Linked DNA regions of Neurospora crassa OR74A. The protein of the gene in region 1 interacts with the protein of each later gene in a pairwise test. Links are inferred from orthologs where the notes say so. Each region holds a gene or a part of one and is shown in the gene's direction. Other genes may lie near its edges. The genes, in order: stk-24 and stk-58.

Evidence for each region.
Region 2: the proteins of stk-24 (region 1) and stk-58 interact in binary tests that used the Saccharomyces cerevisiae proteins (3 or more experiments, as listed by UniProt). The link is inferred for Neurospora crassa OR74A from reciprocal best matches to the Saccharomyces cerevisiae genes PKP2 and PKP1.

What each region holds. Positions count from the first base shown.
Region 1 is NC_026505.1:2,430,677-2,446,696, reverse strand, and holds stk-24 (pyruvate dehydrogenase kinase), read left to right. Parts: upstream 1-1,430; 5' UTR 1,431-1,719; coding exon 1,720-1,988; intron 1,989-2,067; coding exon 2,068-2,187; intron 2,188-2,266; coding exon 2,267-3,482; 3' UTR 3,483-3,784; downstream 3,785-16,020. Other genes in the region: NCU03795 (cell division control protein 12), read right to left, coding at 4,286-4,864, 4,922-5,232, 5,301-5,463, 5,535-5,639; NCU03794 (periodic tryptophan protein 2), read left to right, coding at 6,878-7,008, 7,076-9,644; NCU03793 (hypothetical protein), read right to left, coding at 9,895-10,112, 10,177-10,376, 10,502-11,562; NCU03792 (inositol polyphosphate phosphatase), read right to left, coding at 12,966-13,074, 13,134-16,020. UniProt on the Saccharomyces cerevisiae protein: Inhibits the mitochondrial pyruvate dehydrogenase complex by phosphorylation of the E1 alpha subunit (PDA1), thus contributing to the regulation of glucose metabolism.
Region 2 is NC_026504.1:3,683,855-3,699,408, reverse strand, and holds stk-58 (mitochondrial pyruvate dehydrogenase kinase), read left to right. Parts: upstream 1-7,736; 5' UTR 7,737-7,902; coding exon 7,903-8,114; intron 8,115-8,174; coding exon 8,175-9,447; 3' UTR 9,448-9,635; downstream 9,636-15,554. Other genes in the region: NCU04347 (pyruvate formate lyase activating enzyme), read right to left, coding at 1-49, 126-171, 755-1,181; NCU04348 (ribosome biogenesis protein), read right to left, coding at 1,673-2,404, 2,462-5,062, 5,129-5,199, 5,258-5,336; NCU16822 (hypothetical protein), read left to right, coding at 6,566-6,712, 6,784-6,893, 6,955-7,045; NCU04350 (chitin synthase 6), read right to left, coding at 10,083-11,541, 11,601-15,299, 15,358-15,554. UniProt on the Saccharomyces cerevisiae protein: Inhibits the mitochondrial pyruvate dehydrogenase complex by phosphorylation of the E1 alpha subunit (PDA1), thus contributing to the regulation of glucose metabolism. Also involved in telomere maintenance.

The sequences.
Region 1 (16,020 bases):
TGGATGCAGCCGGAGGTCATGCAGTGACGGGAGTGGCAGTGAGGAACAAGGTGAAGAAGGTGGAAGTGTAGTGATTGGAGGTTACGGTTTCTTTCTTTCTTGTCTTGTCGAAATGGTTTTCTATAGGTTCCATCGCCCGCCGCGGTTGCCCGGCCGCGCGCTCAGTTGTTGAGTGGCAGCAAAGCATATGGAATGTTACTACCCGCAAGGTAACGGGCATGATGTTCTTGACCTACAGACCTCCAGTCTACATTTCGTTTCAGTCAGATGCAGTATACGTAGAGGTACCTCTAGACATGGAGTTAAGCATCCTGGCAAAACCGCGGTATCTGTGATCTCTTATAGAGTACTTCCTCTTGACAATTTACCAGGCACAACCGATACTTTGAATCTATAGTGTTGAATTCCGAAGGTATCGTGGCCAGACTCCTTGGGTCACAGCAACTTCCTCTGTTCGACATTTATTGGGATTATTGTGGCTGTTGGTCCGGGCTGGATCACCCCGCGCTTGCGTAGGCGAGTTTCTGTGATGTTAGTATCAGGTCAGGCCACTTGTTAGCCAAGCCCTCACAGCCTATCGCAAGCTGTGCTAAGCAGCCAGCCAATCTGTTAGTGCATAACATGTTCACTAGCCGCCGCTCTTAACAAACTCGAAGCTCCCAAACTTGAATGACGTGAGAGATACCCGACCTGGTTCGTGGCCTGGATCTCTTCCTCCAGCTAACAGCTGATGTGTTCAATGGGTTCCCATCAACACTTTTGACTGAGACTGGGCCAGAGGATATCCAGGTGTTATGGTGACAGGAGTATCGCGACCTACCCTCAGTCAAAGCATCGATCTGTTTGCATGCGCTTTCTCGACTTAACAAACCATCATTTGCCCGCATTTTGCGTTTTTATTTACACAGTACTTAGACGATTCATTAGTGACGTAACGAAGTATTGCCGGTTGATTGTTCAGGACGAATTTGTTGTCGGTGTTTCAAGATGGCCAAGAACACAACAACCTGAAGCTCTTCAAATTCGCGCCAGAGCTGTGATAATAGACCTAACTGCCCATCTACCATATAATTCGGAGCTTAACATTTGGGCAACAACACTTCCATGTGTCTTGGATTTTGAGGTCATCAGCACCTCCATTTCAGTTGACTGGATTCACCGGCTGTTTTTTTCACATCCGTCGTTCGAATGACGTCCGATCAACTGAGTCCAGTCGGTAAAAGCCCCAGAGTGTGGGGTCGAGTAGGAGCAACTGTTCCCTTCGCATCCGTCATGCATGCAGTGCGAGGACGTCCATCCAGTACTTGGACATATTGAACGAGGTGACTGCCCTAACAACGGGAAAATCTGGCTTAACATACCCAAGTATTTTGACACAAATAGACGCCAATTTATCGTGGCTCCGTAAACCAAAAGCATATGATAGATATGTCGGGTTTTGGGCCACGGCAACCTAAAAAAATTCCAAGCCCCTGACCCTCTTCCCGCGTCCCCCTAACGTAAACACTAAACCAACTGAAGCAAGCTCGTGATAACCAGCGGGGCCCAGGGATTCTACACTACGTCTAGTGTAGTGTCAGAGGTGCATCTTGCTCCGATTATCGCTCTCCAACCCTGACACAACACGACCTCTAGCCTGATAATCTTGCGACAACCCGACTCCAAGTTCCTTTTCCCTCTCTTCACCAAAATTACTCTGTTTCGCATGGCACCGACGGTATGCCGTGCTTCTTGCTGCAAAATGCGAAAGCGCCCGTCCGGCTGATGTGCACGGCGGGAGACCTGGGCATGGTGGCGCGAAGAGGAACAAGCCGAGGACAGCTCCTCCTCAAGTGGGCGATGACTCGGAGCTGCACGAGCTCTACTTCAGTTGCAACTCCAAGACTATCAGCAACACCAAGGGCACGAACGATATCTCTAACCCCTCAGACTCGATGTACACATAGCCAGCACAGTCCGAAATGGCGCCCGGTGTCTGTTCTAGACGAGTATGCGGATTTCCTGTCCTTGCCTTGACATCACATGCACCAGGAGCCCACGCTTACAATGTGATCTCTTCACTTACAGATGGGTCGCAAAGGAAGCTCGACCGATCAGTTTGCGCCAATTGATGGTCTTTGGCCGTTCCCTGACCGAGTCGAGGTTGATTAGCTCTGCCAATTATGTGCGAACAGAGCTTCCGACGAGGTAAGCTCTAAACTAGACTCTCCAACATCGAGACTACCAGAGTTACAGCATCTGACTATGTATGCGACAACTCGGACAGAATTGCCCACCGCATCCGCGACATGCAACGGCTCCCCTACGTAGTAGTAACCAACCCACACATGAACGAAGTCTACGACCTCTACTACTCGGCTTTCGACACCTTCCGCAAGGTCCCCGAAATCAAAACGCTCGAAGACAACGACGCCCTATGCGCCACCATCCGCTCCAACCTCAAAGCGCACCTGACCGTGATCCCCAAGCTAGCCATGGGCATACTGGAGTCAGCCGGACTCATGGACGCCAAAGAGCTAGACAAGTTCATGAACACAATTCTCCGTTCTCGCATCTCGCGCCGCGTCATCGCCGAGCAGCACTTGGCTCTAACCGACACCTTCCACGCGCCTTGGTTCTCCCCCGGCGCCAAGCTTTCGGAATCCGAGTTCATCGGCGAAGTCTTTTTGAAGTGCGTCGCCAAGGATGTCGTCGAAAGATGCGGCCAAGCCATCCGCGACATTGCGCAGCACGCATACGGGCCCGACGTGGCGATCCCCGAGATCAAAATCGACGGACACCTGGAGGCCAATTTCCCTTATATCCTCAGCCATCTCGAGTACATCATCGGCGAGCTACTCCGTAACTCGGTGCAGGCCGTAGTGGAGAAACACCAGCGTTATAAGGAGAAGGTAGCGGCAGCGGGAGGGAAGACCGACGAGATTGGCCCGCCGCCTGCGATCGAGGTGACAATCTGCGAAAGCCAGCAACACGTCATCATTCGCATCTCGGACCAAGGTGGCGGCATCCAGCAGGACGTCCTGCCGTACTTGTGGTCCTTTAGCAAAGGGCCTGCGAGTCAGCAGCTGCTGACGAATCTGGAACAGGTGCCCAAGATGGCCGCGACGATGCAGGAGCTCAAGGTCGAGGGAAGTACCTCTAGCGAAGCTGGGACAACGGTGGGCAAATTGCAACAACAGCGGCAGGAACAGCAACAGCAACAGCAACAGCAACAAAAACAACAGATCAAAGGCATTCACAACGGGAACAACTTCCCCGGCGACCCGGGTTACTGCAATTCGTTGGCGACGCTGACAAGCCGCCCGCCGAACCTACGCCTGGGCATGGGGTTGCCTTTGAGCAGGGTGTACGCCGAGTACTGGGCTGGTAGCCTGGCGCTGCACAGTCTGGAAGGGTATGGGGTGGATGCGTTCTTGCAGATCTCGAAGCTGGGGAACAAGAATGAGCAGCTGACGACGCGGGCAACGATGGATGCCGTTTAGAGGATATCCAATAAAGTGTAAGTGGGATGGGTGGAAGGGGAGGAGAAAGGAATTATACCCAGTAATGGTTCGGTTCAGAAGAGCATAGGAAGGGCATCACAGTGACCTGGTGTAACGGATAGATTATTCACGCGTGTGCTAAGTCGGGCTTGGTGTACGGAGCAACCTCTTGTATTTTCAACGCAATATTGTTAACTGGGCATGATATGGAAATAGCAACTCACTTTAGTAGCACAGGTTTGCGCTTAGCTTAGAGACCTTTGTCAACTCTCAATTCGAAGCACTACAGTCATTAAGTCAAAGCTTGTACTCAAAAGTGGTAGCCTTTCTCATTATTTGGTATCATTGAAAGGGGGGTTGCTATCAGAATTACATCGTAGCTAAGACGGACAGAAAAAAAAAAACTGGCGTGATGGGGTAAAGTTAAGTGTAAAGGGTGTGGTAAAATGTCAGTTGCCGCTCGAAATCTTCCAAATATCTGTAACTTTTCATCCCCATCTCCTGGGCCTCCCTGCGCGATTCGGGCTATGCAGAAAGGGTCTGTGAGAAGATGAGGGAAACCCGGGCAAGTGTATAAAAACATGAGGAGCCTCCCCTTCTATAACAAGCCTCGATCGATGACCGCGCCATCCTACCAAACCGCAGCATATCCATGAACATCGTCTTTCAAGGTATGTAAGTCGCCCAGTTCGTCTTCACGTAAACATGTCGAAAAAAATCGAGGCGCAGGTACATTAATGCTCGATAGAACGGGAGACGGTGGTCACCCTTGTAGAGGATACCGCAAAAGCCGTGATAACCGCTTAGCGGCGACCGTGGCTGCGAACGGCATTTCCCTGCAGAGACTCGAGTTCCATCTCGAGGGACTTGATCTGGGCGTGGGTCTGTTCAAGGTCCTTGTTGAGACGGTCGCGCTCGGCAATGAGCTTTTGCTCCCACTGCCTGAAACGCTGCTCCTCGATCTTGACCTGTTCTGTGAAGCGCTTGCGGAGAGCCTCCTCCTCCTCCTTGAACTTGGGGTTGTCGAGCTTCCTTGGGCGAGCCTCGCCGAACTTGCGGGTCTCCATTTGCTGGGCGCGGTAAGCCTCGTAGTGCAGCTCCTCTGTTGTGTGGATAAGGTCCAACATGTGGGTGCGGATAAGAATCGAACGGAGCTTCTTGAAGTCGCAGTGTTCCTCGTTCTCGACTTCGGCCACACCCCACGAGTATTGACGGCCCTTGACAATACGTCCATCGCTGGTCTTAACATCCTTCTCGGAGCCGATAACGGCAAAGGGCATAGCGGCCATCAAGCTGCGTGCGTGTTGTGCGGCAGCCTCGTCATCCTCCTCAATAGGTGGCTGGTAGATCTTGATACCCTGAGCTTCGATGACGGCACGGATCTAGAAGTCATGGTTAGCGATGATGGGTGGTATCTTCAAGTAAAGGGAAAAACCTACCCTGGACTTGAACCTCGCCAGGTCGGCAGGGCTGAGAGTGTCGGCCTTGGCAATAACGGGAATGAGGTTGACGCGAGAGCAGAGTCTCTTCATGACCTCGATATCTAGGGGCTTAAGCGTGTGGCCGGTGGGGCGGATGAAGTACAAGCAGGCGTGGACACGGAGATCAATCTTGTCCTGACGGCGGGGTTGTTGCTCCTGGAGCATGTAGGACTCGTGCTGGTCGTCGAGGAATTCGATAATGGGCATCCACGAGTCGCGGTTGTTGACGTAGTCACCAAAGCCGGGGGTGTCGATAACAGTCAGGCGAACTATAAGCTGGTTAGACAGAGCTCTCCTACAAGACACCAAGGTCCCCCTGCGTGATGTGCTGTCGTACCCTTGAAGAACTTCTCCTCGAGCTCAGCCTTTGTGATTTCGATCTCGACGGTCTTGTCGACCTGCTTCTGGTGGCGCCTCTTGTGGTCGGCATAGTTCTTGATGGTCGTGGAGAACAGCGTGTTGATGAAGGTGGTCTTGCCGAGGCCGGACTCGCCAGCAACCTATCCACCCACGCCGTCAGCATTGGTTTTACAAGCGCGAGGTTCGGCAAGCTTTGGACAGTGAAGCGCACCATAATAGTAAAAGCAGCGCCTCTCTTAGCAACAATCTTGTGTCGCTGGTTGGGCAGATTGGCAATGCCAATCGGTGAGGCGCTCTCGGTAGTGGCAGGGGCCATCTTCAGCTGGGCGAAACACGAAACTGGGAGATAATTATGGGTAGAGGATTAAGTCACGATCCCGTTGCTGTAACGGCGAGAAGAAGCACCGGCAATTGGAGAAAAAGAGCGTCAGGCGGGATGCGTGGTGTACGGGTATGGTGGTGGTCGTGAATGGGAATCGAAATTAGGTTGGTGTTGACAGTGGACGGGTGGGAGCGAGAGGCAGACGGGGGATGGAACTGCAGTGGTGAGTGGACGGGGGACCCGTCGTGGAGCTCTGTGCTTTCGTTCAGGGGAATTTACTTGTTCAAATTTCCACACCACATTCATCTGGCCCAACCCAGCACCACACACCCACGCAGGAGAGAGCACCAGCGACGGGGACGGGAGCGCCAGGCCAAACCTAGCCCACACTGACTGAACCCCAAGCACTCCAGGCACTGCAGGGCCGCGGCAGCAGACGGACGGAGCAAGCAGCGAGCAAGCAGCATTCGATTCCATCCTCCAGATGAGGTGCCTGGGCGGGGCCACGGCAGCCGTCTGTGATGATGCCGAGAAGGCGCACGGTACACGATCCATATAATCCAATGGCACCTTTCGAGCCCGGCATTCTGCAGTAGTGTAGAGCTGCCACCACACAAGGCCGCTCTTGACTGGCTGCGCGGCAGGGAAATGAGTGGACCCTCCCCTTTTCCACTTGCTTCCCACACTTCCCCAATTCCAGGTCCCCAGAGACGGACCTACGCTGGCAGCTCTCCACTGAAACGCGCTTGCCAGGTACCCTCGCCGAGCATTTAATCGATGCGTGCCTTCCCTGCTAGCGCCATTGGCGGTGATCAGCCATTCATTGCCATGGAAACTTGGTCGACCCTTTGACCCTTTGATTGCCAGCTCTGCCAGCCTTGCACTGTGCTTGGTGACCGTGCTTGGTGGTGCCGTGCAGTGGTTGGTCTCGCTGCGGTCGGTGAGGCTGCCAGATACGCCAAGTCTTTTGCCAGCTGGTGCCAAAGCGAGGAGCTAACCCGACTCCATTCCCCGCCAAAAAGTTTATGAAATTTTTGGCTGGCAGAATCGCCATTGAACGTACGGGCGGTCTAGGCGCAACAGCAGCAGCCTGTAACTGAACTTCTGTTCCACTTACCTATACAGACTCGAAAGAGTCCTCCAGTTCCTGTACATAATCGAATCCCCAGATACTATCCCAGTTCTGCTCCATCTCCAACGTTGACAGTCGAGGCATGGAATAGTGTTTGAAAATGAAGACCGACTTCAAGTTTTCTAATCTACTGGGCACAGTCTACTGCCAGGGCAACCTCTTGTTCAGCCCGGACGGTACCCATCTCTTCTCGCCCGTTGGCAACAGGGTGACAGTCTTTAACCTTGTCGAGTACGTCTCAAGATTCCCTACACACCTGCCTGGCGCATGGCTTGTAAGCTGGCTAACACGGTCGCAGTAACAAATCATATACCCTTCCCTTCTCCCACCGAAAGAACATTGCGCGTATCGGTCTCACGCCCCAGGGCAACCTCCTACTCTCCATAGACGAAGATGGCCAAGCTATTCTCACCAACGTGCCCCGGCGCGTAGTACTATATCACTTCTCCTTCAAGGCTCCAGTAACGGCTCTCTCCTTTTCGCCATCGGGGCGCCACTTCATTGTTGGACTCGGCAGGAAAATCGAGGTTTGGCACGTTCCCTCAACACCCGACGCCAACGCCGACGGCGAGCTCGAGTTTGCGCCCTTCGTCAAGCACCATACCCACGTCCAACACTTCGACGATGTCCGTCACATCGAGTGGTCCCACGACTCGCGATTCTTCCTCACATCTTCCAAGGATCTCACAGCAAGGATATGGAGTGTTGATCAAGAGGAGGGGTTCACACCTACAGTTCTGTCCGGTCACAGGCAGGGTGTCGTGGGCGCGTGGTTTTCCAAGGATCAAGAGACGATTTACACAGTCAGCAAGGACGGCGCCGTATTCGACTGGCAATACGTTGCGAAGCCTGGACAGGACGAGGATATGGTGGACGACGATGACCTGGCCTGGAGGATAGTCAACAAGCACTATTTCATGCAGAACAGCGCCACCGTACGATGCGCCGCTTTCCATCCCGAATCGAACTTGCTGGTTGCCGGTTTCTCGAACGGTATCTTTGGCCTCTACGAAATGCCCGACTTCAACATGATCCACACTCTCAGCATCTCCCAGAACGAAATTGACTTTGTGACGATCAACAAGAGCGGCGAGTGGCTGGCGTTTGGCGCATCCAAGCTTGGTCAGCTTTTGGTGTGGGAGTGGCAGTCCGAGTCTTACATTCTCAAGCAGCAGGGCCATTTCGACTCGATGAACTCCCTCGTTTACTCTCCGGACGGTCAGCGGATTGTCACAGTCGCCGATGATGGAAAGATTAAGGTGTGGGATACGGAATCGGGATTCTGCATTGTTACCTTCACAGAGCACACGAGCGGCATCACTGCTTGCGAGTTCTCCAAGAAGGGCAATGTCCTGTTTACCTCGAGTTTGGACGGTTCCATCAGGGCTTGGGACTTGATCAGATACAGAAACTTCAGGACCTTTACAGCACCAGAAAGGCTATCTTTCTCTTGCATGGCAGTTGATCCTAGTGGCGAAATCGTGGCGGCTGGCTCCGTTGACTCTTTCGACATTCATATTTGGTCTGTCCAGACTGGCCAGCTCCTAGATCGTCTTTCGGGACACGAGGGCCCTGTGTCATCCTTGGCCTTTGCGCCTAACGGCGGTCTTCTTGTGAGTGGTAGTTGGGACCGCACTGCCCGTATCTGGTCCATCTTCAACCGCACACAAACAAGCGAGCCTCTCCAGCTCAACTCGGATGTTCTCGACATTGCCTTTAGGCCAGATTCTCTCCAGATTGCCATCTCCACTCTCGACGGCAACCTGTCGTTCTGGTCGGTCTCGGAAGCTGAGCAGCAAGCTGGTCTTGATGGACGCAGGGATGTCTCCGGCGGTCGGAAGATCGGTGATCGCAGGACTGCGGCCAATGTTGCCGGTACCAAGGCTTTCAACACCATCAGATACAGCACAGACGGATCGTGCCTTTTGGCCGGCGGAAACAGCAAGTATATTTGCTTGTACTCCGTCACCACCATGGTTCTCCTGAAGAAGTACACCGTGAGCGTCAATCTTTCAATTCAAGGCACTCAAGAGTTCCTCAACAGCAAGCTTCTCACCGAGGCTGGACCCCAGGGTCTCCTGGACGAGCAAGGCGAGGCCTCCGATTTCGAGGACAGGATAGACAGGTCACTCCCAGGCTCCAAGCGCGGCGACCCCTCCGCACGGAGGAAGAATCCCGAAGTGAGAGTAAACGGCGTTGCCTTCTCCCCGAACGGAAGTGCTTTCTGCGCCGCCTCCACAGAAGGTCTTTTGATCTACAGCCTGGACACCACCATCCAGTTCGATCCCTTTGACCTCAACATGGAGATCACCCCCACCTCTACCCTGGCCGTGCTCGAGAAGGAGAAGGACTACCTCAAGGCTCTCGTCATGGCTTTCCGCTTGAACGAGGCCGGTCTGATCCAGCGTGTCTTCCAGGCCATCCCTTACACCGACATCCCTCTGGTGGTCGAGCAGTTTCCCAACGTGTACGTTGCCAGGCTGCTGCGGTACGTTGCCGCGCAGACCGAGCAGAGCCCTCACGTTGAGTTCTGTCTTCTTTGGATCAAGGCTCTGGTCGACAAGCACGGCGCGTGGTTGTCTGCCAACCGCGGCAAGGTCGATGTTGAGCTTCGTGTTGTCGCAAGGGCTGTTTCCAAGATGAGGGATGAGATCAGGAAGTTGGCCGATGAAAACGTCTACATGGTTGACTACCTCCTCGGTCAGGCGAGCGCTGCTAAGGAGACTAATACCACCAAGACCTTGGCGCTTGAGTGGGCTACCACCGGCTCGGATGAGCAGCCGGGCGCTGGCGGTATGAGCTTGAACGATGTCATGCAGCAGGATGAGGGGAACGCCAGCGAAGACGAGTGGATCGGTTTGGTATAGGTCCTAGGATTTAGAGTACTATAGGATTTTTGTAACGGTAAGGAAGGGTACCACACATAGGATAGGCGCTGATACGGAAAATGTTTGTCAACCGGCATTCTAGTTTATAACTTGTACAGATGATTTTGATACCAATTCATGGCAATAGAGAAAATAGGGGTTTTGGGATACAACTACAACGCCATGCGAAACTGTGTGAAAGCAATGCCATACCCCCTTAGTCCAACATTTGTGGATTGCTAGATGCCTTTTACTCGACATTGGGAATATCCTCCCATGCCTCATCGAACCCACAGCTACGTACCCAGTTTGGTCCTGGTGCGAGGACCGAGTCGACAATCAGGTGGTAGACCTTGTTCCAGTAATCGTCATCTCTTGTTTGATAATAGAGCTGGCAAATACGTGCAGCTCGGGCAAGCTTGATGCTATGACCATCGTCCTCAAAGAAATGCAGGTTGGAAATGATTTCTTGAAAATCATCAGTATAAGTAGCGGTTCAAGGCCGACAGAAGCGAGGTAATCATCAACTCACCTTCAGGAGTCCCACTTGTCTTCTTCTCCTTAGGCTGATAAGAAGTAATAGCATCAAGCGACAACTCCGGCGCTCCACGCGCCGCGTACTGAACCAAATCCATCCTGATCTTCCACTCGAGAAGACGGACCTTGGTGTCAAGTGATATCCAATCTTGTGCGTTGACTGTCGTGAAAAACGGTGCTGATGTGACATGGTGCCTATAGAAAGTCGTTCGTCAGTCAGTATCAATCTTCCCGTCCAACTCCTTGCCTACCCCTTCTTGAATTCAAGGGGGGGCAGCGGTACGTGACCAGAAACACCAAAACCGGACGAGGAAACTCACATCAAGAAGAAATCAAACCTCGGCAACTTCGTATTCCTCTTCACCAACGCCGCCGCACTAGCCATAAACACGGCGGAATCATACATCTCCGCCGTCCTCTCCTGCAACTCTTCCTTTCCCACCTTCACCTTGGCCGCCAGCTGGATCGCCTCCTCTTTGGCCCTCTTCAACACTCCATCCCTGACTTTATTCGCATCACTCATCCTCGCCGCTTCCGCCAATTTTCTGTTTCCTCTCACTCCCCTTTCCAACAAGTCCTCCACCACCCTCCCCATACCGTCATCCGGTTTGCTGCTAGCTTTTGCGGCCTGCTCAGCTCCCAGGAGATACCCCCCAATCTCATCCCCATGCACAGCCGCCTGCGCCAACCCCTCCGCCACGATCGCCGGCTGCTTCCATTCCAGCCCGTACATGAGCTGGATCAGCGGATGCAAGAACCCGCTGTACAGCCTCACCAACAAGTTATCCGCCTCGGGCGTGCCCGCGAACAAATACTCATTCACCACTTGCTCATACTTTCCCTCGCCGCGGGAATCCATCTCCCGCTTGAAAAAGGCCAGGAAATCAGGGTAGTGCTCCTCTTTGCCCAGGTACTTGGCCGCGTCGTCCCGCCAGTTCTGGATCAAGTCGGACACGACTTCCTGGTGTTCTGGCAACGTAGGGCGTTGGTAGGAAGCGTTAACGTCGTAGGCTTTCTGCAGCGCTTCAGAGGGGGCAGAGGTCCCGTAGAGAGCGAGGAGGTGGTGAGGGATGTGGTTGTGGAAGCCGTCTTTGTTGAAAAAGACGTGGTGGTCGTGCATGTCGGCTTGGAGGAGGTCGGAGAGGAGCGTGTAGGCGGTGGGGGGTTGAGAGTGAATGGTGGGGGACTTGGACCAGAGGCCGATGTTGGAGGGGGTGATGTTGATGCGGTGGGGGGTTGCTTCGGCGGACATCTTGTTGATGGTTGTGAGGTGAAGACGTCGTCGAGTTGTGGTGATGATGGTCCTTGGTGGTATGGGAGAGATGATGTTGGCCTGGCGAAGGAGGAATGTCTTCGTGCCGGCGGGAGTGAAAGGTCGCATTCACGTTGATTTGTGTAGAGGCAACGGGCCGTGGGCTAAGGGAGTTAGAAGGCCTAGGAGAGGTTCGTGGAATAAATATAGTTGAACTGTATACGATATAGATCAGGTTATCGTCGGAGAAGAGGTTGATTATAGAAGCCAAGAGTAATGGTGTGTTGTTCACTTGATGGAGTATCACGAAGCCCGGTTGCTGTGGTGTTCGCACGTCAAGGTATTCCAAAGTCCGAATGCCGCTTATCTCCGCACTCGAAAGCCAACTCTTAGGTAACTGTTTTCCGTCCTACGCAAGTGCGTAGTAGGCCTCTGCTACTCTTACAAATCGAATTGAACTCTGACTGATGCGTTGTTGAGATGAAGCACAGTCTAATGCTGGTTTGTTTGTTAGCTTGGTACTCCTACTATTACACTAGACGAAATCTATCCCGTATTGCCCCAAACCTCAACGATTGAAAGAGGCAGTGACAAGATTGAATATAATATATTGCAGAGAAGAATGGCATGTACAAGGTAAGATCACGGCTTCATTATGAAACGGAACGATTTAGTGGAATATGTACACACCCACAGGAGTTGATCCCAGGTCTTGAGCTAACAAACAAATCGGCACTGAAGTGTAAAGTGGTATTGGGCGCGTGTAGTAAGACGGCTACGTCATTGACCCCCTTTCAGTCGTCCACACAGATCAACTACCTCTACCAAAACATTTGTAACCACCGGCCTTATCCGCACCCTACACTTTTAGGCGAGCTCGTCAGATTATCTGGAAAATAATAGTGTCTAACGGTTGAGGACTTGATAAATGTACATTCTAATAACATTAGGTTTACTGTTCTATGTGATACTGCCTTCTCTTTACCTTTCATTTCATTGCTCCCTTCGCTTCCGTGCTTTCCGTCGATATTGATTCCAAGTGCTCTCCTGTACAGTCCCAGACACTATCTATCTCCATGACACATTCAACATCAAGCATAAGTTCATGGCCAGAGCTGCCCATCATACAAGACGAGACGCGAAGCAGTGTCAACAGGAAAAGTGCACCGCTTCCACGCTTTACCAAAAAGCTAATAAGTCTCAAAATCGTGGAAAAAGACAAAAAAGCAATATGCGCTGTTCCTAACTACCTAGAAAAGGGTAGTAAAACCATCGATCCATCCTTTCATCCATCAGTTGCTCCATTCCCCAACGCTCCTGTATCCTGTCTAACCAGAGGCCCCGTTTTCAGCCATTGTATGTTTCTACTTCTTCCTTTCTCTCTTTCCAGCTGAGTGTATATGTATATGCGGTATGCTGTAGATAAGTAATAGACTTGTTCATCCTTTCTCTATAAGAAAATAAAAGTCACTCGGTGATGGCGCAGTTGAGTGGTTTCCTGCTTTTCGATTATATTGGTAATTCTTCTACGCCTAACGTCGACTTGGGCTGCGGTTCAACTGCTTTCTTGAGGCCTGTTCCGTGATCAATCGCTCAGAAGTGTCATGATCGTACCCAATGACTTGGGTAAGGTAGTAGTATCTGTTTTCGACGTGTTAGCATGTTTGTTCTCGCATCAACATTTAAAGGGGTGGACTCACTTCTCAGCATACGCCTCCTTAGCCCTCAAGTCTTCCCACAGCTGCTGGCACTCCATCCAAGCTTGGGCTCTCCTCCTAGGATCAATCCTCTTCACCAAGAACCTGAACCTGCCGCTGACCGGCCTGTGGTCCGACACCCGTACCTCGTGTCTCCTGTAGTCCAACTGTTCTATCCTGCCCCTGCCGCGGTATAAGAGTCTGTCGCACCAGGCTGGGCTACGCTTCTTCTCACTTGTGTCGTAATTATCCGTTCCAACATCGTATTTGTACGTTGGCGCGAACGTGATCGGAAGCTCATCAAAAGCTCTCAGCCGGAACCCGGGGTTTCTCCTCTTGGCAACAAGCAGCTGGTCACGCTCGAGCAGTTTTGTCAAGTTGCCCTGCTTGACTGCCGTTACTACCGTGTCACGGCTCATGGTGTCGATTCGGTAATTGAGATCGCCGTTGAGCACGCATAGTTCGTGGTCGAGGATCATGGTGCCGTCACCACCGCCGACGTAGCTATCGATACGCACGGCGGGGTCGCGCTCGGATGGGAAGGCAGACGCATCCAGGATCGCGGCTACGTCGTTATGCCGCTGGTTGGCGCCTGATTGACCCGCAGCCAGATGGCAGTTGATGAAACAGAGCGAAGTGTCGTCAACCAGGAAGCGCACCACAATGGCGCCCTTGTTGCCGTGTAGACCACCGAGGCCGCGCTTGACCTCGTTGCTGCTGAGATTGCTGATGCGTCCACGTAAGTCTGCCTTGACAAAGATACAAGTAAAGAGGCCAACCAGGGGAGAGGTGTGAAGCAGATGATACAAATCGCCCTGCATATAATCATCCAGACTGCGAATCAGGAAATCACGCCAGTCGCGATATTGGTGGCTCATCCGCTCTTGATCGGACCCTTCCTTCTTCTTCGGCTTCAGGAATCGCTTTGCTGTGGCTTTCTTGTCCTCGAGATCCACCAGTTCCTGGAATCCAAAAATGATGATGTCGGGGGAGTCGGCGGTCTGTAGAAGATCCCTGAAGAAATTGGCATCCGAATCAGAATATCGAAGACTGTGAGGAGTTGAAGCTCCCGCGTTCCATGTCATAATCAACACCTTGAGATTCTGGAACTCGCAGTATTCCACGTCTTTCCTCTTCATTTCGCCCTCAAGCCAGTCCTCTTGCAACAGCGCGTCCCAAGTTCGTACCATGTTATCTGCTCCAAGAGAGACAACCTGATACCGGTCAAGCTTGTAAGAGCTCGAGCGATCAGCGATCAACTTGATGACGGGATTTTCGTGGGCTACCCATTCCTTCTTGACAGCCCATGGGGTTTGTGTCACGTCGTAAACAGCTACCTTGCCATTGTTGTATCCAGCCCAGAGATACGAACCGGCTGCGGCAAGTGAGTTGATCTTGAACTGGCTGACATTCATTATACACTGACATGTGTAGTCTTTCCTGGAGTAGACGCTGACTTTTCCGTCACTATGGCCGAAGTAAACCATGTCCGGATCAGATGCAAGCACTGCTCCGGATATCACTTCGCCAGCATCTTGCTGACATAGGGCCCTCAAAAGAACCTGAAACTGTGTCTTCCCGTCCACAGTGGGTTTGAAGACCCGAATATCCTTGCCTGTCGCGTACCATAGCTCGTCTTCCACTACCATCGAGAAAGTGTGACCCCTAGGTACTCGGAACGACTGGCTGGGCCCGTTGGAGAGGGTCGGGGTGTGGCTCTCGTCTGGGCCCCAGACATTGAGGGCTCCGCTGTCGTCCAATGTCCATACTTCGTTAAAATGCCTGTATATCCTAATTATCTCATATCGGCCATGCGCATTCGGTAGACTGTCCGTGATTCTCTGCGTGCCAATATCGGCCTCCAGCAACTCTCCAGAGTTGTTGCCGATCCACACCTTTGTGCCTTCATCGTCGACGTGCGCCCCTGGTTTGAACATGACCGCGGTTCCCTTTTGCCCTTCACCCATGGACAGGCTCATAACCAGTTCGCCATCAAGTAAACTCCACACGCGTGTAAAGCCACCAGTCGTGCATACGAGCTCGCCGCACACATCGAGCATTCGAGTGTCGTACTTTGTGTAAATCTCATGAACGCCCTTGCTGATGTAAGGTTTGCTCCGGTTCGTGTTTGTTGCGTCAGGATATGCCATTGTAATGGTTGGCCCGGTGTTGGCTGTTCTGGATGAAGTGACCGGGACCACTTCGGGGATGCGTTCGGGAATGCGATCGTGAGTAGCAGCGCTGATCGGGGTTGGTGGCGCGCGGAATTCGTTAGGAACGCGGTTCGATGTCCTATCCACAGTCATGGACCTAACGTGAGTTCTGGACGGAACTGAAGGGTGATACTGATTTGGTGTCGACACTATCCGTTTCTGCGATATACTGCCGGGAGGGTTTGGATCCAAGTTCGCATTAACACCCGGCTTTGGAGGGCGCGGTGGCGGCGCCATCATCATCCCATTGAGTGTACGGCTTGTCTCTATGATGCTGTGCGGGCGAGCTGGGAGAGCTGGCGGTCGGTTCCCGCCTGTATGATGTCGCGTTACCGGGCCCCTAGTACTGCCCATTTCCTCTTCCCTGCCCCGCCTTTGCCGTGCTGCTGAAGGATGAAGGGGTGGTGGGTCAAAACCCACGTGAAAGGTCCGCGACCTCTGAAGTCCCTCCGGATTCGGTTCCCTCTGTTGTTGCGCTCTCGGTCGCGCAGGTAGCATCGGCGGGGAGCTATCTTCGTCAGGTGTGCCATTGCTACTAGGCGGACTGCTGAAAGGCGAGATTCTTTCTGGGGTTCGAGTCTTGATATCCAATGCTTGGCTTCTCTCGATCTGGACCGAGGAGCGAGAAGGAATCACGGGCTTTTCCGCCCTGTTAATGGGTGGCGGGACCGGCCTGG
Region 2 (15,554 bases), on another chromosome or scaffold:
GTGAGAGATGTCGTGGTTCTGGCAGAAGACGCAGCGGAGGTTACACATGCTTTCGCGACATCGTAGTTAGTCCGATGCTATTCTCCTTGATTCCTTACTCGGTTTGCATCATGACAAGTACGCACCTGAAGAAAACCGAACCACTCCCATGATGTCCCTGAATGCATGGTTCTGTGGTCACAAATGACTTCAGTCAATTTTTCCCGTCCCTTACATGATGATGATGCTGAGAGAAAGCAAGCAAGCCACCAGAAGCCACCACTCTGCCGTGTTCTTTCTTCTTCTAGATCGAACGTGGCAAGGAGAAAGAAACCCCTTCTTTCATCATCTTCACGGAAATTTCCCATCCAATGACACTCACCAATCCCTCCCCTTTACTCTTTCGGATACCCCGAACCGCCTTCTTCTCTCCCTTGCGCGGTTATGACACCCAATTACCCGCTATGACCCAGAACCTGCCCCTTGCCAGCATCACAGTGTGTACATCTAGACTGATGAACAATCCCAACAGACCGAGCTGTTTGACTGACCAAGAACCCCAGAACATTTGGCTTCTGAACTGAACATTATCCGCTCCCGCATCCGCATCCGCCACCAGGTCCTCCCTCCAGACCCTCCGGGACCCTGATAGCCAAACATCCAAAAAACCAAACAAACGGTAATGGGAAAACACAGATCAAAATACGTAGATAACAGAAGAAGAAGAAGAAGAAGAAGAATACCAATCAACAATAAAACAAAAAAAAAAACTCACCTTCCCCAAAATGCGGCGCAATAACATTCACCTTCGCCTTCTCCCCAATCAAGCACCACCCTGTCTTCTCAAATCTATTCACCCCACACTTCCTTGGACACAAGTTGCACTTGGCCAGGTGAGCATATGCTTGCGATCGTTTCTTGGCCGCGTCGACTTCAGATAATTGGAGGTAGCGGGGCGTGTAGTCGTCGAGGAGGAAGGGAGGTGCTAGGTGGAGAGATCTTTTCTGGAGGTTGTTGATGTTTGGGGATGGAGAAAGAAGGAGTTTGCGGGTGGTGATGGGAGTTGCTTTCAAGGACAGAGATGATGTCTTGGCTGTGTAGGATAGGAGACGTTTGGTGGCTATGATGGGTAGGAGGAGGACTCGGGGAAGTGATGAAGGGAGGTGGTGATGTAAGGATTGACGAGTGGTCAAGGTGAGCATATTGTGTTGGTTGTTGGGCAAATCGTGCTGTGTGTTCCCGAGAATGTGACTGAGAATTGAGTGAACGCTCGAATAGGGCAGATAGATGATTGGGGAAAAAGGCGAGGGAGTGTTGCTGCCGTGAAACGAAAAACTATGAGGTTGTCGTCGTGAACAGTGGAACCAAATCGAGCAATCCGCAACAGAGGCAAGTGGCAAGTATGCACTAACAATTTGTGCTACAATGCAACCCCTAAAACACACCCACACACGAACAAGTACTTCTAGGACCACCCACCCACCCACCAACCAACTAGCGAATATCTCAACCAATGCTTTTCGCTCGTGCTAGCAAAAAAGAAACAATTTCTTTCCCGGGTATGAATCGATGGATGTGGATGCCTCTCTATATACAGTAGTAATAGTACTCCCAAAAGTGAACCCAGGTGATGATGATGACAATGATGACTGAAACAAACAAGCAATTATTTTCCCCTTGACGACAACAACATTTACCTCCTCCTCTTACCACCACCACCCTGGTCGCCGCTAGGACCACGCTTCTTACCCTCCCTTTCCCAATACGCCTTCTTCTCCCTCTTCTCCTTGCTCTTGATCCGCTCCTCGGCCTCTTCCAGGCTCTTCTTGTACTTCTCGTGCTGCTCCGCCTTCTTGGCCTTGCGCTTCTCCACCACTTCCTTGCGGATCGTTGTGAGTTTCTGCATGAGATCGCGCGCCTTCTTCTCCTCGCCGCGGACGACGACCGCACGCTTCTGCATGTACGTCTCCTTTTTCTGCTTCTTGGTCTGGATGATCTGCGACTTGAAGGGCAGCTCGGCCGCGAGGGCACGCGGCACACGGAGAGGGTTGAACCGACGGGTCTCGCGCTCGATCTTGCGGTACTGCGAGTTCTTGTCGAGCGGCGTGGCGATGTTCTGGTCGCGGCGGACCTCACCCGTGAGACGCATGCTCTGCCAGCCGACCAAGTTGGTGGCCGGGTTGTAGAAACGGTGCGGCTTGATGGGGTACCACGCGCGCAAGAAGACGATGTCGCTGAGCAGGATCTTGTCCTCAAAGGTGGCACGGAAGTGGCCGTCGGGCTTGGCGAGTGCGCGCTTGATCTGACCGCGGATACCCGAGACGGTCTTGATGGAGGCACCCTCGAACTTGGCGATTTCCAGCGCCGAATTGAACATGTCCTTGATGAAGGCCGTGTTCTTGAAGATCTTGTATGGTGTACCGGTCTGGACGAGTTGTTAGCATCAAAAACACCATACACAATAGGGCGGAGGGTAACATACCAGCTTGAGCTTCTTGACGATCTCGGTAGACTCGTCTACGCTCAATACTGTACCGGTAGCCGCAATACGGAACCCGGGGTTGGCGGAAGAGAAGGACTGGAAACATGTGAAACCCGTATTGGGGGCACACAGGGGGCCGTAGAAGGTACCGAAGCAGTGCATGTGCTCCGGAGTATACTTCAGCATCCTGTTTCTCGTCCGAGAATCAGAGATGGAGTAGATGGGAAGAGACTGGAATCGGCGCCAGCCGAGGGAGAAGATGAGGGGATCTCCCGTCTTGAGAATCTTCTTGTGCCAACGGTGCTTCTTGATTCTAACTTGCACAAAGCCGAATCTGTCCTCCGTGGCCGAAAGACCTCCGACAACGATCGGCATCCGTGGCTTAAAGTTCTTGACGAACTCTGCTGGGACACCCTCGATGACCATCCTGGCGTACTTGCCGGCCTTGTAGCCTTCGACAGCGATCCTTTGGCTTTCATCAAGGTTCTCGTATTCCGCCTTGTTGATGTCGAGCTGCTTCTGGATCATGGCCTTTTGAGCATCATACCAGTCGTCCTCTCCAAACTCGTCATCATTGCCACCTTCTCGCCTGGCAATCGCCTTGTCGTTCTTGAAACCTTCACGATCTTCCTCTTCGAAGCGAAGCTTGAGCTCCTCCTTTCGGCGGGCGTTCTTCTCACGCTCGGCTTCAAGGCTTTCTGCTGGCTGCTCCTCTCCTTCCTCCTCTTCTTCTTCTTCATCCTCGTCGTCAGCGCCGTGCTTCTCCCCTGTCTCGAGATCCTCAAAGGCACCGTCACCTTCATCATCGTCGTCCTCGTCATCAAGACCCTCGAAATCCGAACCATCTTCGCCCTCGCCCTCAGCGTCGTCAAGTAGGTTGGCGGTGGCGAACTTGTTTCGGAGAGCCTCGACAGCGTCCTTGTCAGACCACTTGGCTTCTAGTTGTTCGTAGTCGAACTTGGGAATCATGCGATCCTCCCAAGAGTCCTCCTTGTCCTCCTTGCCAGTCCTCCGGAAGAAGGTTTCGTCGTCCTCTTCGATATTCTCTTCGATCTCCTCCTCGTCGTCTTGACCGGCCCATTTCTTGATGGCTTCTGTGGGGGCCATCGACTCGTCGTACATGTACCTCGCCAAGTCGACAGCGCGGAAGGGTTTCCTCCTTCCGTGTATCTGACTTGCGCGCTCCATTATGTTGTCCTTCCACTTGAGCTCAGGATCCTCCTCGTCGTCCTCGTCATCGTCAAAGTCGGATCCTTGGTCTTCATCGCCGGATATCGAACCAAGGTCGGAGTCACTGTCGGCAAAGGCGATGTCCTCTTCTTGGTCGTCGTCGGTCTGTTTCCTGAACATCTTGCCCAGCTTCATCTCGTTGAACTCGGACTCGACATCGGATCCATCCTCCATCTCATCTTCCTCTCCGCTTTCGAAGCCTTCGTCCTCTGGCGGTTCACCACTCTCACCATCGGCAAGTCTGGCGGTTCTTCGGCTCTTGCGGCCAGTGTTTCCGACATCCTCGTCCTCGACAGGGAGCTGGTTGATCTTTTGTCCGCTCGCGAACAGCTTGACACCCTCGTCCGTTTGACCAAGGAGACGCCTCTCGTTCTGCAGGTCGATGATGAGCTGTTCTCCTTCGCCGCGCTCAATGCCCACAGCATCCTTGTCAAATGTGAAGCCGTTCTCCCTAGTGATAACGATGTGATCGCCAGTAATTTTCAAGCCGCTGCGGTCCGCCATGGGCGCCCAGAGCTTTTTGTCCTTCTCGTCGAGTCGCCTTCTGCCAGTCTTGCCACTGGCCTTGGCCAGCGCTTGTTCCATAGCGGGAGTCGGGCAAGGATCCGGCAATTGTTCCATCTCTTTGATTGTAAAGTCGCCCAAACCAGCAATATGTACCCTTTGGCCCTCGGCGGAAAAGTTTGTACCACGGAGGTAACCGGAGAGTTCAATCGTTCGGTCGCATTTCTCGTCTTCTTCAATCTGGGTGGGGTGGGTGACATCGCGGTAGTTGTCGATGATGGTGTAAGGGTGGGAGTTGCGCCAAACGAGCGGGCGGGGGTTCTTCATGACGGACAAGAAGCGGGAGAGGTTGTGGATTTCGCGATCGGGGTAACGGCCGTTCAGGACACCGGAAAGGTAGAAAAGGTGGGCACCCTGGTAGAGTTCGCTCCAAAGTCTGTGCTTTAACCTCTTCTTTGCCTCCTTTAGTGCTTGGGGCTTCCTGAACAGGTCGAGATGGGTGAGGATGCCAAAGACGTTGCCGGGCATACCCGTGGCGGCAAGAACGTTAAGGAACTCCATAGTCTCCATTTCGAAGCCGAAGTTTCCATCGATCATGAGAAGGACAATGTCGGCGACCTTTGCAATATCGACCATGGCCTCGAGTTCGTTGGCGCATTCGATGAAGGTCAATCTCTGCTTCTTGGAGGTGACGACCGTGATAGGTCCCACCGGATCTTGGATGGTTTCCTTTGCATATCGTCGGATGAAAGACTTGAGAAGGGTGGTCTTTCCTACGCCAGGGGGGCCTACGATGGCGACGAGTCTTGGGGGTGGTTCATCGGGGAGACGGTCGACGGCGGGGACATGAAGACGCTTCTCTTTGATCTGCGGAACAAGACCAGTTAATTATAAGAAGTCATTGAAGGATGGAGCGAGGGAATGTCTTCTTACATCGTGGGATCTGGCGGCTTGTCTGGCGAGTTTACCAGGATTGGAGAAGGCAAAGGCCTTGGGGTTCTTTTCTGCAGGGACGGTCAGCTGTGGATAGTAACGATAAAAGAAACAATTGAATACACATACCACCTGTATGCTTGGAGGCCCCCTTCTCCTTGGACTTCTTGGAAGCCCGATGGGGTTTGTGGGCTTGGACGTCGGCCATGATTACGGCTGGTGTCCGTGAACTTTTTGCAAGTTCAGTAGTATAGATGGACACGCGGTCGCGAAAACAGGTGCAAGTGGAAATGCGACGGGACTCGCTCCCAATTCAACTGCTGCCAAAAAGCTGCTGTCCAAATTTTTTGGATAGTCGGTTTTCTGATGGAACGCCAAGACGTTTATCGATAAGCGATAAGATACCTGAATAGTGGGACCTCTTTCCGCGGCAGGCGACGGGACCTATCCCCGGCAGCACCCGCTACTAAGCAGTGGCAGCATGCGGGGAGTTGGAGACCCTGACAGGCAGTCCCGACCTTCAAGTCTTGGAACCTTGAACAACAGACGAACCCAACGTATAGTCCCGTTTCTTATCTTCAACCAACTACTGGGTGAGCTGTGTCTTCGGAGTAACTATTTCCAAAGGTTTATACGAAGATATTCCGTTGGGTGGTTGAGATATCTTGTGCTGTCTTGAGCATGACCAACCTAACTACCTCTATTGTACCAAGCCCTCCCTCACTGGTGGAGACTACATACCACGCTATGTAAATGCATTGGATTGTTCAGGGACCTCCCAACAAACGGTTGAAGAAGAGTCGAGACCATGAAAGAGCTATCATAGTTGATAACTTGCGGCCTCGACATAGGAACGTCGAATGGGCCCGCAAAGTCAAACAGCCATGGGCCATGGCAGCCCTTCTTGCATAACACACCATTTTGAGGGTTACATACGTAATTGTCGCGGGAAGGAGGGTTTCCGATTTACACACATGAGGAGGGTATGGCGTATAGGCTAGGCTCAGAGTTACAACAGATAGGTAACAACATCCAAGATCCTGAGTAGCAAGATGGTCGGAAGATGACTGGATCCATCCTCCCACACCACTCCTAGTGTCTCAGCCCGCGCCTAAGCGCTCGTTAGGTGGTTGTGTGCAAGGCTGTCTTGTTGGGCGCTGAGATGAAGGATTGTCTCTGTCATCCCCACGCCTGGCAGCCAAAAGAGTGTCACAAGTCACAAAACGACCTGCGGTAGGCGCAGCAAGTCTGGTCCAAGTGGATATGACGTATCATCCGCTCCAGAGAATGCTAATGTCCCTGGTGCCGCGTCACTTGTGGCTCCTGACGGCGTGGCAGGAAGACCAATCTAGCATGATTGCCGCTTATCTGGCACATGTGCATCTGTGGTGTAGGTAGTTCGAGTCCACTTGTGCATGTCCCTTGATCACGTATAAGATGCTCCTTCGTCCGCTCCTCGAGACGCAGTACCGACTTTCCAAGTTCACGACCAACCACTACACTCTGTTTCAACATTTCCATACAGCAACACCAACTTTTTCACCAAACAACCCTCCCACCACCGCAAAGATGCCTTCTTACATTGTAAGCATGCCGCACTCGCGCCTCACACTACCCATAAGACTCTTATTGACCTCAGCTGTTCACTATGTCAGGTTACCCTCAAGGACACCGCTACCGATGAGGAGATCGCCAAGACCAAGGAGGACGTCAAGGCGCAGGGCGGCAAGATTGGCCACGAGTACACCCTCATCAAGGCCTTCCAGTATGACAGCCTCCGTCTTCAGAATTAGACACAAGAGCTGACCCTCTCTTTTTAACTGCAGGGCCATCTATCCCGAGGGCGCTGTTTTCACCCTTGAGAACCACGAGCACGTCAAGGGCGTCGAGGCCGACCAGGAGGTCAGGACCCAGTAAAAGAGCGCATCCGATTTCAACAGCATGTTTGAAGCATTAGGCGTCAAGGACAACGACATTGGGAATGATATGACATTAGCCCGGGAAGGACAGGTATAGGATGAGACTACAGTCGCCTGCTCAGAGAGAGAAGCATGATCTGGTGATGGATCTCATGCGGGGCACCAATCGCGGGGTAACAGCGAGACGGAGGTTACCTAGTCTCAGCTACATAGTGTTGACAGCGACAGGGGGCCCGGGGCTTACCTGCCGGTTTCGCTGTCGTTCCAGTGACACTCTCCACTGGAATAGATAAAGGCGGCCATTTGATGATTGTTATGAATTCAAAGAAAGATTTCCAATTTGCACATGTTGACTTGAATCGTGTCACTGACTGTGCCTAGGGATGTGTTCAACCAGGAAGTCCAGACTTGCAATGGGGATGCGTCATGCTGGATGGAGGAGAGAGCAACCGACCCGACAGCACCGAGGAGACAGAACGGGAAGCACAGCCAAAGCACAAGCACCTAAGTGGAAGTGGAAGCCCTCCTCAGCCCAGCCCAGTCCTCAAGGTGCTCCAACCTACTCCAAGCGGCCTGTGGGCAGCCCCTTATCGCCTAGCATATCGATTGGACCACGATAACCCTGTTTCAGCGTGGACTGCTACCTATGTCATCCCATCGCGGCGCTGATCGCCGTCCCGCGCGCACACACACACACACACACACACACACACACCACCGAATGACAACGAACTGAAGCAACACGGCACTCTCCACCGGACCCTACCTACGTACTTGTTGCACCAAAATTGGAAGTACGTTGTAGTCCCAAATTCAGTCTCGTAACAGAAACCCGCGACCGCACAACATGCCGACATGAAATCCATCGCGAGGCCGTCGAGGTTTCCCAGCCCTCTCAAGGCCGCCTTGAGCTCCTCAAACTACCCGAGACTGTATTCCATCCTGAACCAGAATATCGCGAGACCCCATTACGACCGCCCGCTCAGCAGTCGCCATGAGCTAGAGGACAAAGTCCCATGGCTGGCTAACCAGCCTCTACATCAGCTGAGTCTGGCCGATCTTGTCAAGTAAACAACCAATTCCACTTTATCCAAGGCGTTGATCTAACAATGGCTTCATTCTCCCAGACACGGCCGCCCCCCTCTCTCCGCCGAAGCCCTCCTCTCCTCGGCGCGCTTCACCCTCTCCCTGCTCCCCATCCGCCTCGCCCACCGCATCCAAGCCCTGCGCAACCTGCCCTACATCGTCGTCTCTAACCCCAACATCTCGCGCATCTACAACAACTACCAGCACTCGCTCTCGACTTTGCTCCCCTGGCAAGGCAAGACCATCAGCTCGCTCGACGACGAGATCAAATTCACCCAGGTCCTCGCCGAGCTCGTCCAAACCCACACCGACACCATCCCCATCCTGGCCAAGGGCTTCATCGAATGCCGCAAGTACATCTCCCCTAGCGAAGTGACCCGCTTCCTCGATGAACACCTGCGCGCGCGCATCGGCACCCGCCTGGTAGCCGAGCAGCACATAGCTCTGCACTACAGCTCTACGCCGCACTTCGACCCGGAAGCCTCGCCCACGCTCTGTCCGGAGCCCAAGACGCACCCATCCTACATTGGCGTCATCGACACGACACTGCGGCCCGCCAGCGTGATCGACTCATGCGGTGACTTTGTCGCCGACATCTGCGAGCTCAACTACGGCGTGCGCCCCGAGTGGGTGGTGGACGGCGAGCCGGACGCCACCTTTGCGTTTGTGCCGATGCACCTCGAATACATTGTCACGGAACTTTTGAAGAACGCGTTCAGAGCGACCGTGGAAAACGGCATGAGCCGCGAGCCGGTCGTGGTAACCATTGCGCCCGAGCCGGCGAGCAGTTCCGCCAGCGCGGCGACACCCGGCGTTTACTCGGATTATTGCCCTCCCAATTCTTCCCAAAAGAACTCTTCTTCATCTTCTTCTTCGGGTTCGAATTCGATTTCTTCGAGTCAGCAAGGAAAAGCAGCAGCGCAACAACAACAACAGCAACAACAAAAACAAGCGCAGCATGGCATCATCCCGCTACATGACCGTGCGCCCGGGGTGACGATCAGGATCAGAGATAGGGGAGGAGGCATTAACCCGGCGGTGTTGCCGAACATTTGGAGATACTCGTTCACAACGTTCAACGACGCGGATGATGATGATCATCATGAGTCGCCGGGGGCGTGGGGGGAGGAGGCCATGGGGCTGATTTCGAATACGGGCGTGGGCGGGAGCACGATTGCCGGGCTGGGGTATGGGTTGCCGCTGAGTAGGGCGTATGCTGAGTACTTTGGGGGAGGGATTGCGGTGCAGAGTTTGTACGGATGGGGCACGGATGTGTACTTGAGGTTGAAAGGGGTGGGTAAGATCGAATATTGAGTGTACATACTACATATGTCGGGTTCGGTCGGTCGGTCGGCCGGTCGGTACGCTGTTATAGATCGCATGTCAAGTTGCCCTGCCGGTTATGAGTATATAGTATTTGGCTGGGAGATTTGAAAGAGGGTCCATAGAAATATGACTTCAACGCGTCAAATCTGGAGAATAGACTGTTGTGTTTATTCCTGCTCATGGTTCAAAGCGAATCGACCAGTGAGATGGACGTGGCTTGAAACGCGGTTCGATGTTACATACTTGTTTGATTTCGAACTCAACATTTACATCCAAGATTCATATTCCTCATCGTGCCTTTCCTTAATGACGCCAACCAAACATCAACCATTAACCAACAAATTAGAAACTCAGTCTCGTCGTGGGTGTAAATGCAAAGAGATACATTGCTATGATATGTTATAACTATGCAATAAAACTTGAAGCCAAGAAATTACCAAGTATTCCCAAAAAAGATAGTGTCTATGCTACTATATCCATTAATATTTTTTTTGTCTCAAACCACTAAACAAACGATAAAATGATCCAAAAACCCATCCAATCCATGTCACTTCAATACCCGGCATCCATTATGACATGAAATCAGGTTCCATCCTTCATGTATCAGATCACATGTTTCCACTTCACATGTTCGCCAACTCATTATCAATCTGCCTGTCCATAAACGTCCTCCTCTCACCCACCAACTCCGTCTGCAACCGCTGCTCCACCAGCGCCCGCACCTGCTTCTTCGTCACCGTGTCCAAATCAACCTCGCGGAGCACGCCCTGGATGGCCTCGATGATCATCTGGTCATCGGGGCCGGGAGTGCTGCGCTGAAAGTCAAACGACCGCGAACTTTCCGAGTGGCTCATGCCGGGACGGTGTCCAGGAATACCCAGGCTCATGCCCGTGGCCGTGGACAGGCGGGCGTTGACCATGCCGCCGGCGCCGAGAGCGGGAGGCGTATTGGTCATGGAGCGCATAGCACCCTGGCTGGGGCCGCGGCTATGACCGCCAGGGAAGTCCTGGTACGGGCTGGCGCGGCGCTGCATCTCGACCATGGTGCCCATCGAGGCCATGCTCTGACGGTTCATGAGGTTGTTCTGCTCGGTGAAAGGGGAGGCGCCGACAAAGGTGCTGGCATGGGTCATGGCGCCGCTACCGCCGCCGTTGGGCGGGAAACCAGGGCTGTGAGGGGGCATGTAAGCTCCGGCACCGCGACCGCCGAACCCAGTAAGAACGGACGGTTGGCGGACCGAAGAGTAGACTGACTTCATGTCATCGACCTCGTAGGTCTCCTCGTACATACCGCCCAGATGCTCGTCCATACCCTTCTCAAGAGGGCCACCGCGACGACCGGGAAGGTTGTTGGCGAGGGCATATTCGTCCCAGCGCTGGAGAGGAATGGCACGGGGGTTGAAGCCCTCCTCGTCGACGGCGACAACTTGCTTTTTACCGCTTTCACCAATGACAACGCGCGTATTACCCCAGGCGAAGTCATCCTGATGCCAGAACGAGTAGATGGGCAGGATGAAGGAGTAAATGGGGAAGGCGAGGAGGTAGATGATCATCCAGCCCACGTGCTGCCATTGGCGCTTGAGGATGAAGATGAGCGCCTGGAGACCGTACACGGCCGCAATCATGATGATCGAAAGAAGAGGGAACGGTGCAGTGTGGGAGGAGGCCGTGTAAATGAGATAAACGATGTAGACGCAAGTGGCGGGAAGAATAATAGTACCGAAGAGATCGATGAAGACGACAATGCGCATTGAGAAGAAACAGAAACCGCACATTTCGTCGAGGAAGATCAATTCAGCCAAGTTGTGGATGGTTGAGTTGATCCAACGACGACGCTGAGACAGCAGAACGCTCCAAGTCTCGGGGGCGGCCGTTTGGCAGTAGGCATCGGGAATGAACTTGTAAGACATGTATGGGAAGTGCTTGGTCATGAGCGTGGTGAGGAAACGATCCTCACCAAGCGAGAGCAGGTTCTTCTTGTGGAGGGTGTCAACATAGCAATCGCTGTACTCGCGGATAATATCATCCGAGATAATGAGCGGCTTTCCCTTGTCAACAGTACGCAAGCGGTACATGGTGAAACTATTGAATTGTCAGTATTGCCTACAACAATCAGTGAGCGGAGGAACGGCAAAACTTACCAACCGGGCAAACAGGTAACGCTGCCAAAGAGAGACTCGAAAGCCTTCGCTAAGTGATGAGAAATATAGTACTCGTAAACCTGGATCATGGTCCACCACGAAAGATCCTCATTCTGCAAACTGGTTTCACCGCAAATACCGGCAATCTTGGCGTTATTGGCGCAGGCTGCCACTAGGCGGTTGAGAGAATCTTCGCGAACGCAGGTATCGGCATCGACCATGAGGAGGTATTCGTAAAGTTCGGGATCCACACCGATGATGTTGTTGATCTGGTGGAAGATTTCCAGTTCCAAGGGATTCATGGGCGCACGGTGATGGACGCGGTTGAGGAAGCTCATGAGCAGAATCTGCGAGTCACGCTTACCACGGTTACCGGGCTTCGTCTTGGACTGCTCAGACTCCTTGCCGACCTTGACAACCACGATATAAGGTACCACGTTCCCTTCAAATTCATACAATCCAGAGTAGACCTTGCCGTAGTTGAGCTGTTCGGCTCCAGTACCGACGGATTTGAAGGCCAAGGCAGGTGGGTCAACCTTGGGGTCAACACCGAGAATATCGAGGACGATCTTGGGAGTAGGACGGTCGTTGCCAGCACCGACGATGACACCGTCGCAAATAACAAAGATCAGCTTCCGCTTGTTATCGTACTGGAGGGCTGTCAAAGAGTCCAGGGCTTTCCTCAGCGAGTCTTCACCCTCGGTATAAGCGGGCACCTGGCAGATGACAAACTTGTCCTGGGGAGCAGGGCGTCTCTTGGATCCAAATTGAAGAGCCGACACGAACTTGACCACGATGATACTGCAGATAATAACGGAAAATGCAAGCAAGATGTAGTTGTTGACTTGACACCTGGCCGAATAACGGAAATCGGGCTTGCCAACGTAGAACGCGTTCTTGACACAGTTAAGACTGTTCATAACACTATTATACTGGGTCGTGTTGCTACTGGCGCGATCAATCAGGTCGTTAATCTGCTCGGTCAAGTCCTGGCCGGGGTTGTTCTTGACCATGTTGGTGATCTTGGCGTCGATGAACGTGTATGTAGCATCGTTATTCATACGCTTGGCGGTGTACATGTAATCGGTCATGTCGTAAACGAGATCCTCGTAGATGAACCACGGGTGATTCCAATCCAGGCCTTCCTGCTTAATCTTCTTGGAATCCCAAACCACGTCGCCATGGTAGTACTCCTTGATGGCAGGCAAGAATCTCTCGGTATACCAGTATCTTTCAGAGAGCTTGCTCCGAATATTAGGCTGCGTGGGGCCGGAGATATGCTGGGCCACAACATATTCAGGGGTAGTGTTGAATTGCAACGTAGTTGAATCCGCGATGCCGAGGCCGGGGCAGGTAATGTAGAGAGGCGCGACAAAGTAAGCGGAGAGGTCTTGGCCAGCAAGCGGCATCATTACATCCGACGTGGTGTCAATGTTGTTGTCGCTGTGCTGCAATCTCCAGAATTTGGTGATGTCGTAAACCTTGCCGTCAATGCTGACCCAGAAGTCATCCCCTGCCGCATGATTCTGAATTTCTTCCAGAGTCCAGGCTTTGTCGAAATTGGGGCAAAGAAGACGACCGAAGAAGATAATCCAGAAAACGATGATGGCGTTGAGAAGAACGATAATGAGGCAGAGAACAAACTTCTCACGCCATGCCATACGCACGTCAGGCCGCTTCATCCGACCGACGAACTTGAGTAATGGAGATGGAATCCACCACGTCAAAGCCCAAACAGTAAAGACCCAAATTTTCCTTTGGGAGGAGATAGGCCGCTCCTCGATCTTCTTGCCCTCAGCAAGGTCGGGCTCTAATTCCGAAACCAGTTGGCCTTCAGCGTTGTAGAAGACCTGTCCCTTGTATTGATCGCCCTTGGGACCAAGACCGTAATCACCGCTACGCATGCCAGTCATGTTCGTAGGGGCAACGGAAGGAGCACGCGCGGGGCTCGGGTTGAGGTTGTTTTGGCTAAGATTACCACCGAGGGCGAGGTGATCGTAGCTCCCGTTGGAGGTTCCATCGGCAAAGGGAGAACGCATGTGGTCAGCATGTACCTGAGGCGGGAAGAAGCCGCTTCCGTTGTGAGAATAGCCCGAGCCCATGGCCCCTGGGGCCATCAGGTTGCGCATGCTGTTGAGCCTCTCAGCTTCCATGGGCTTCAGGTCCAACATACTTTCGGCTTCCCACCACGCGCTCTCCCTCATCCATACCCTCTCGTTGCCCACGACAACCTCGCCGTTGCTCCAGCCCCGCTCCAGGATCCAGCTCTCGATACCGTCACGGCCATCCATACAGCCCAGAGGCCGATATCGCTGAGTAAATTCATGGTGATCAAAATCGGCGGTGTAGTCGATGTGCTTATTGCGTCTGTTGGCCCACTCGGACAGCCTCCAGGTGCGGAGCTGGCGAGAAACAGCTCCAGCTGACCAGGCTGAGTTGACGGCAGGAAGGGCAGCGAGACTAGAAGGTGAGTCGTCTGTGGGGTGGATGCAGAGGTGATACCAAGCACGACTGCGGTTCAAAAGATCCGCAACATCCACACGGCCAGTGCGGCCGAGGTTGATACCCTCGGTGGGAACCGGGAGCAAGAGCTTCCTCAAGAAACCCTCATCTTCTGATGCGAAGGCAGTCTTTTCCAAGATTTCCTCGCGCTTCTCAATCAGGCGTTGCCTTTCCCGGCCAACCGAGCCAACCATAACACCCAGATCAGGACCACACTCTGCAACAGCACTCTGCATTTCCCGCACAACCGAGCTGGAAACAGGAACCACCTCGACGCCGTCAGCCTTCATTTCCGAGTTGATACCCTGAGTGTCGTCGAAGATGCCCCGCATGGCAATAGCCTTGCCCAAGTTTTGGTCGGGAATCTCGAGGACAGTAAGGCAGACAGTATCGCCACTGTCCTCGTTGGAAGTGGGCGCACCACTCCGGGAGGCACCGTCGCTAGAATCATCGCCACTTCTGGATTTACCCATCTGCACGGCAATAGCATCGTTGGCCTTCTTGATGACCCAATCGACCAAAGCCTCATAGAGTCCTCCGATCAATGTCGCCCGGTCGTCGGTGCTGAGTTGCCTGGCAAGAATTTCGGGTTCGATACCAAGAAGTCCACCGACATCCTCGCAGATTTCCTCCAAAACTTCTTGGTCAACATTGTAATCGAGTGTGTTGCCGAGCTTGAGAAGGCCGGCCAAGATCGAGATGAGGTTGCGGTGCGAAGAGCCCTTGATGCCGATGTCCTTGAGGGCAGACCTGAAGTCGTCGGCAGCGGCACCATCATCGGCGGTAGGAAGATAGGATGGGGGATCGTAGGTGCCGGACCGGGCGAGAAGACTGTATTGAGACGCGGCCTTGAGCCCAAGGAACTCTCTTTCGGCGGGGGTAGAGGCCGTGGTGAGCAGGTAGTAAAAGACATCAAAGGCCCTGTATCCAGGCTCAGAGGGGACACCCAACAAGCCTTTGTCGGTGTCGATACCACCTTGTGTGAGCGAGAGTGAGGCGGCAGTAAGGTTGCCTGTAAGGTTGAGGGTCAAGGTGACGGCCAAGCCGGTCTGTCTCGGAGTGGAGGGGTTGTAAGGGGTTACACAGCGAAGGAACGGTTCAATAGCATCGAGTGCTTTGTACACCGAGGCAGGGATCTCAAGGGGAATGGTGGACAGGAAGGGTCGCAAGAGCGAAGGAGTCGAGTTGTGCAGTGATCTAGCAGTCATTCACCTGTTAGTACCAGACAAAGTGTGTAGGTCAAGCAAGGACATACCCAAGAATGATACATCCATCCTCAGCACGGCGACGAGCGTGCTCCCATGCCCTCAAAGCCAGAGCGCCATCAACGGTTCCACCAACGTGGCCATCGGGACCAGCTTGGGAGGCCGTAAGCCATGTGTTGACGACGAGACTTGTGCCGGCGTCCAGACGGTATGGTTGTGAAGAGAGGTAGATGTTGTGTACGGAGTT